2 linked regions of the Lonchura striata genome follow. The protein of the gene in region 1 interacts with the protein of each later gene in a pairwise test. Links are inferred from orthologs where the notes say so. Each region holds a gene or a part of one and is shown in the gene's direction. Other genes may lie near its edges.

Region 1 (3,747 bases):
TTCCGCAGGACCTTGGGTCAGATGAGAGCTCTAAGTCATGTAAACACAGCATTCCCATCCCCAGAATAATCACATTTCTACCCCCCGCGACAAAATTGGCAATATCTACAAGATTGGAAATATCTTCCCAATTATTTAAGCACATTATGTTGATCTCTACCGTTTTAAAGTGGTGGCAAAAAAGAAGCGACAAAAAAGCAAAAAAGCACCCTCCCCGCTTTTTAAGAGTAGGTTATATTTTTGCCCCTGTGAAAAACATCTTTACGTAGCCACAACACCAACACTCGCAAAGGCAACGCAGCTGAAAATTTCAAAGAGAGATATAAAACTTTATTTTCACATTTCGAAAAGGGCAGCAACAATTCAACGCTTCCTACGGCAGCAGCGCAGCCAGCAAGGAAGAAGAGCAGAGACCAGCAAGGAGGTTACGCAACTGGCGCACGTACCAAACGCTTTAATTTACGACACATTAATGAGCAGAGCGCAGCCCGCCCCGACCAGCGGGCCCACCCGGCCGCTCCCCGCTCTCCTCCCGGGCCCAAGATGGCGCCGGCGCCCCTCACGCCGGACAGCCCGCCCCCGGCCCGCCCCTCCAACATGGCGGACGCACCTCCAGTCCCTCGGCCGTGCCCCCGCCCCGCCAGCGCCGCCTCTCCGCCGCCCGCGGCCCCGCCCTCCCTGCGCCTCCATTGGCCGGTGCCACCGCCCCTCCTGCCGCTGCAACCAATGGGAAGAGAGAGACGGGCGGTGCGCGCGGCCCCGCCTCTTGTGGGACCGCCCACATCCAGGCTCCCGCGCTCCCCGGCGGGGTTGCGCCCCCTGGCGGCCAGCAGCGCGCGTGCAGCGTTGGAGGAGGAGGAGGAGGAGGAGGAGGAGGAGGAGGGAAGAAGCAGAAGAAGGCGGCGGGGGTCGGGACGAGGCCCCGAGGGGTGCGGGAGTGACCTGGGGCCCGACCCCTGGCCGCAGGCACGCCCCATGCCAGCCTCCCAGCCCCACAGGCGCCCCGGCCCCTGCCCGCCGGCCCTCGGCGCGGGCCCTGCAGCCGTGGCGGAGCGCGGCGAGACCCCGACCTGAGCCGGGCTCGGCGCCGCCCCGGCGCGGCACAGCTCTCCGGGCAGCGACCCCGCAGCATGGAACAGAAAAGCAGTAAGCCTTTAAAAATATATATATATATACGTATATATATATGCGTGTTTGGGGCAGCCATTTGTTTTGCAATAAACATTTTTAGGAATCAACTGTCTTAACCTATTTTCCCGTTCAACTAAATGAAGAACCCAGAATGAATGGCAAGGCTTGGGGTTGATTTCTTTTTTCAGTTACGGCACAGAAAAGATTAAGTAGCTAACGTAAATAAGGCATGTTTTACGCTGTCTGTGTCATTATGGGCTGCCCAGGCAGGTGGTGGAGTCACCGTCCCCGCATGTGTTTACGGGAAGACTGAATGTAGCACTCAGTGCCATGGTCTAGTTGGCATCCTACAGCTCGGTCATAGGTTGGACTGGATGATCTCAGAGGTCTTTTCCAACCTATTTGATTCCGTGATTCACGGAGATAAAAATTTGGAATCTTCAATGTGGTTGAAGAATGTTGTCTTACTTCTTAGTATTCTTGCAGTGAAGGGTATCTTGCATTTGTCAACAAACAGAATCAGTAATTTATTTACCTAAAAAAAGCTTTCCTTTTTTCCCTCTAAATAAATTGATTTAGTTATAGTATTGCTGTACTGAGCACATCAATTTAGGAAAAAAAAAAAAAACCAACAACAAAAAAACAACTGTGGGTTAATGGGCAAAGGAGTTGTGTAAGCTCAACTGAATGTGCTGGAAAGTTTGGGTCATCTTGTGACAGCTTCATGCCTCAAAGACAGTAAGACATGACCTAAGTAAAAAAATTTCCTCACATTGCTTGTTTGAGTGTTCCTCAGCTAGATCTTGACAAGGCGTGGGATGACTGTTTGAAAGGGGAATAACTATTCCACACAACATATTCTCACACTGTGCTCCTCCTGATACCCACTGTAGTGTATAAATTTTGAAAAGCTGAGTCGCTACAACTATTTTAATTTCTCACCCGATCTCTTACTTGTCCATTCTGTACCTCTTGCAGTGCTGTGTGACTCCTTTGAAGAGGAGAACCTTAACAGTTCCAGGGAGGAGAGCACTGAAGGTAGTGTAATCTGGATTAATGGAGCTAAAGAGGAAAGGAGTGTGTATTTGGCAGTCATTCTGATATGAAAATTACTATTGGAAGACAATAGCTTTGCCTTTTATGGTGTAAGAGGTTTGTCGGCAGCACTACAGGAAACACGCACCCAGGTTGTTTGGTGGCTGTAGTAAACCCTGACCTTGGCTGCTTGTTGCTTGCTCTAGCATCACTCCCCTGCACAATGCTGGGTAAGAAAAGAGATATGTGGTCACAATGATTCTATAAAGGGAAAAGAAAATCCCTCCAGCCAGATGCCAGTACACACCCTGATCTATCAGCTGGAGAGATGGTTCTGAATAATGACAAGGTAGATGTATCTGGTGGCTGCTCATTCCCTGTCCTTCTGGCTGTGATTGGTGATAGCAGCATTAGCACTGGAGAGATTAGTGGTGTGGACATTTCATTTTTTGAAATGAAAATTATACTGTCATCTTCAAATGCAATCTTTGCTTCTCCATGCAAAGCAAAGCTTTTGCTACTGGAGTTTTGGGTCACTACAGCATGAGAACTGGGGAGTCATTTCCGAGGTGAGTGTTTCATTCCCCTATGGCCTACAAATTGTTATAGCTGTGGACCCAGAAACAAGAAGCTGTTCTGTCACCCATCCTCTAAAGTAATCCATCCACCAGTGCTATCCAGATTTAATCAATGTATGGAAATATTTGAAAATATGTAATGAATAAGGACAGCAGTTTTAATCTGCAATGGAGAAACTTATTACTACACGTTCTAGATGTTTATTTTTAATTGAATGTATTTTTAAATTTTTGTTTTAAATGCAAATATTAAATATAGTTTTTGTTATTTTAAAGTTGTAATAATGTCATGCACAGCAAAACGGTGTGAATGGCACAGGGCAGGTGGTGTCTCTTGGACCAGTATTGTAGGTTTCCAAAAATTGTTGTTGCTTTTTCTGTAATTGTACTTTAACCTTTCCACATGTTTAAAAAAAATAATGTTAATATAATAGATAATTAAATTTTGTCAAGAGATAATGCCAAATCAGACTATTTCACAAGAAAAAGTACTTTTATCATTGCCTGCTGATATTAAGTATTATGCCTTTAGGTGCTGGTGACACGAGCAGCAGGGGTTGTGGTGACAAAAGATTGTCACTTCTTTCACTGCTGTCATGGGGCTTTTGAGAGTAACCACACTGCCATAGCATCACTGGGCTTCTGGTATCCTGGGCAACAGAAGTCATTCTCTACGAAGTTAAAAAATGAAGGAATATTTTTTTATATAAGAATGCAGCCTGATAAGAATGTAGTATTTCTTGACTGCTGAGAAGGTGTCATCCCTGCACATTTGCCAACAGAGATTTGCTGTCTGAAAGTGGAATGTAAAACCTGTGTGACAGTGTGACTCCACCTCTAGAAATGGAGTAGGAGAACAGATTTGCTTATGCTTGGTCTTTGAAGAAGAGCAACATTAACTGAGAAAGAGCTGGTTCTTTCTTCTGTCATCATCTTTTGACATACTGAAACATATTTCCTTTTCACAGTCCTTGACAAAGATGCACAGCTGAAGTTTTAACAA
Region 2 (3,747 bases), on another chromosome or scaffold:
ATTCCCGGTACAGCACAGGACACTCCCCGGATAGCACGGAGCATTCCCGGGAGAGCACAGGGCTTCCCGGTACAGCACAGGGCACTCCGGGATAGCACAGGGCATTCCCGGTACAGCACAGGGCACTCCCGGTACAGCACAGGGCACTCCCGGTACAGCACAGGACACTCCCGGTACAGCACAGGACACCCCCGGGATAGCACAGGGCATTCCCGGGATAGCACAGGACACTCCCGGGATAGCACAGGGCATTCCCGGGATAGCACAGGGCACTGCCGGTACAGCACAGGGCACTGCCGGTACAGCACAGGGCATTCCGGGATAGCACAGGGCATCCCAGGATAGCACAGGGCGTTCCGGGATAGCACAGGGCATCCCAGGATAGCACAGGGCATTCCCGGGATAGCACAGGGCGTTCCGGGATAGCACAGGGCATTCCAGGATAGCACAGGGCATTCCCGGTACAGCACAGGGCACTCCCGAGCCCCGGTCCGGCCCCGAGCCCGGTCAGTGCCGGCGGAGCCTGCAGCAGGCCGCGACCTTCCGCTCAACGGCCGCGCCGATCGCGTTCGCTCAGCACCGGCCCCGGGAAGCGCTGGCAAAGGCCGGGGAACACCGGCAAAGGCCGGGGAACACCGGCAAAGGCCGGGGAACACCGGGAAAGGCCGGGGAACACCGGGAAAGGCCGGCGAACACCGGGAAAGGCCGGGGAACACTGGGAAAGGCCGGGGAACACCGGGAAAGGCCGGCGAACACCGGGAAAGGCCGGCGAACACCGGGAAAGGCCGGGGAACACTGGGAAAGGCCGGCGAACACCGGGCCCCTGAGGCCGGGCTCCGCGCCGCCAGGTGCCGCTGTCGCCGCCCGCCGGCCGGAAGCGCCGCCCGCCGGCCGGAAGTGCCGCCCGCCGGCCGGAAGTGCCGCCCCCGCCCCGCTCTCTGGGGGCGCAGCCGCCGCTGATGGCCGCCGCCCGCCGGCGGCGCGCAGGGACCGGGCGCAGGCCGGGAGCCCACACGGCGGCACACACAGCGCGGAGAGGTACCGGCACGGCGGCACACAGCCCGCGGGGAGGTACCGGGGCGGCCCCGAGGGGCCGGGCTCTGTGCCCGGGCGTTGGAAGGCCCGTGTGGGGCCCGTTCCTCCTCGCCGCTGTTGGCCCCTCAGCGCTCGGGCTGCGGCAGCGCCGGGCGGCCGTCGGCAGGGGCACACACCTGCGGGCCGCGGGGCCTGGCTTTGCTCCTTCCGCCCCGGTGAGCTGGCAGGAAAAGCAGCGGCGTGCTCCTGCCGCCCGGAGGGAACGCGCTGAAGCTGCCAGCGAGAATTGCTGCGCGTTAAGCGATCCCTAAGTTCCGTCAGCAGTACTGTCGTTTGAACAAAGCCAGGTGACAGACGTGAGATGTTCTGCAGTTTAATGTAGGGAATACCACGTAGCATAGTCAGCGGGTAGAAGAGATACCTGACGTTGTAATAATTATTTGGGGATTTTTTTTCCCCTAGGAGACAAATTAGGTTTCTTATAAGAACATGGTCCAAGAGTCCTGACTTAAAATCCATGTGCTAATTTTGAAAATTCAGACTGTCACTTGTCTATTGATGTGGTGAGTTTCAGCCATGCACACAAGCCCCACCTCACACACAGGAATCGGTCAAAAATGCACCTTAGCACTTGAAGCAGGCGTGATGTAACAGACTTTTTCGAGTAAAGTTACTTAGTATTGCCTAAATGCTGTTAAAATGTTAATTCAGCTGTAGTGAACTTTGCTCATTTACGGCTCCAGTTACCTTGGCTTGGAACACAAACTTTGTGCAGCTAACAAAAAAAGATTGTCGTTAGAGCTGGCTCACTAAGATGGTGAAGTTTGATAGGTGGTCTTTTAAAAAAGATTTTAAAAATCATTCACACACCAGCCACTGTGAATAGTTTGACTCCCTCTCGGACACAACCAGTACCCTGCTTTTCCATTTGTCTGCGTTTTGCCTTTGCAGAACAGGGTATAGGTGAACATAAACCTACCAGTTAAGCTACTCTCATTGTAATTAAGGTTCTTGGAGGATTTGAGAGCAAATTACTCCTTTCTTTTTATGTTGAGGTGAAAATAGTGCAAGATGGGCTCAGGCTGTGGTGTGTTAGGGCCATCACTGGGCTAGCAACAAACAGAGTGTGACATCTAAATTATTGTTACTTTTAACCCAATAACCAATGTGGACTGCTTTATCCAATTACACAAAACCACCCAAACCCGTGGAGAAGGACCAGCCACTGCCCTATTCTAAAACCTTAAACTCTTGAGTTTTTCACCATGTGATTCAAACTACACCACTATTCAAACTCCACACCCGCAATCCCAGTTCTGTCATTCAATTTTAGAAGTTTCTCCACAGCCTCAGGTCACATGCAGAGTTCTCCTGGGGGCCAGTGCCTGCCAGTATAGAAAGTCTGAAATTCTCAGCAACCAGGGTTCCAACATCAGTCTGCAGTAGCTCACTTGGCATTTGGTAATTTGGTTTGATGTTAGTGTATAACTATGAAATAACTGCCCAACAGAGGGCTGCACACAAAGGCCACATGACCCCAAAAATGCACACAACTGGAGCTGCCCATCTTGGTGCATAGCCCAGCCTGGTTCTTGGAAAGGCTCAGGTTTGATCCAGGGTGTTGGCCTGCACCTGATACACATGGAAAGTGCTGCTGGGTGGGAATTGCTGACTGACTCCAGCCAGCCTGTGCAGCCCACCTTCTGCAGCTTTTTTCCCCTTTAGAAGCTCCTTGGAAACAGGATGGGTAAAATGTGTGGCCATCAGCAGTCCCTTTCTGTGGGCAGTCAGGTCTTGGCTGGCAGGGATTGTCCCAGGAGAGGGGGTCCCCAGGAAAACCAATGACAAGAGCAGGCTGCTGTGTGACTTTGTACCTTGCTCCCAGATTGCTTTTGAGACAGTCATGCAACTAAACATTTTGAATAGATACTTATTTTAGCAAAAAAAAAAAAAAAAAAAGCCTCTGAAAGGAATAGAAAATACATGGTTTGATTCCAGAATAAATCTATTATCTTTTTAGCTTTATCTAGACTAGAAGGCTATAATTTCTTTACATGTTTTTTAAATTACTTACATCCAGTATGTCAGACTTATGGATAAAAGTTTGCATTGCAAATCTGATGGATTTTAATGCTTTCTCTAGGGTGATCTTCACAGAAACTCCTAAAGGCTTCAAAGATTTATTTTGGGCAAAACAGATGAGAGACATTCTGATAAAGTAAAATGGATCCTTGTTCAGTTGGAGTTCAGCTCCAAGCCACCAATGAATGCCATAAGACCTATTACACCCGTCACACCGGCTTCAAGACCAAACAAGACATCTCTTCATCTGACCTGCTGCTGCTTCAGCTCAGGACTGGGATAACCCTGTCAGAGAGCAACACAATCTGCCTCCACCATGCCAAAATTTACATTGAACGGTTTGAAGACTTACAGAAATCCTGTTGTGACCCCTTCAACATCCACAGAAAACTATCAAAGAAAAACTTGCGAGCAATTGACTTAGACGATGCAGCTTTTCTAAGTGCCAAGTTTGGAAGGCAGTTTGTTCCAGGTTGGAAGCTTTGTCCCAAATGTATGCAGATAATAAATGGAAGTGTGGATGTGGAACCTGAGGAGCGACAAAGGAGAAGGCTGGATCCAGATGTATGTATATGGATCAGCTTTCCCATCCCCTCTGTACTCTGCAAGCTATTAGAGTCTACTATGTAA

What was found.
Region 2: the proteins of SETDB2 (region 1) and ARL14EP interact in binary tests that used the Homo sapiens proteins (3 or more experiments, as listed by UniProt). The two-hybrid records come from large-scale screens. The link is inferred for Lonchura striata from reciprocal best matches to the Homo sapiens genes SETDB2 and ARL14EP.

Annotation. Positions count from the first base shown.
Region 1 is NC_134604.1:62,438,667-62,442,413, forward strand, and holds the start of SETDB2 (histone-lysine N-methyltransferase SETDB2), read left to right. Parts: upstream 1-873; 5' UTR 874-1,130; coding exon 1,131-1,146; intron 1,147-2,109; coding exon 2,110-2,169; intron 2,170-3,747. UniProt on the Homo sapiens protein: Histone methyltransferase involved in left-right axis specification in early development and mitosis. Specifically trimethylates 'Lys-9' of histone H3 (H3K9me3).
Region 2 is NC_134608.1:61,357,786-61,361,532, reverse strand, and holds the start of ARL14EP (ARL14 effector protein), read left to right. Parts: upstream 1-907; 5' UTR 908-1,038; intron 1,039-1,065; exon of another isoform or gene 1,066-1,250; intron 1,251-3,178; 5' UTR 3,179-3,258; coding exon 3,259-3,681; intron 3,682-3,747.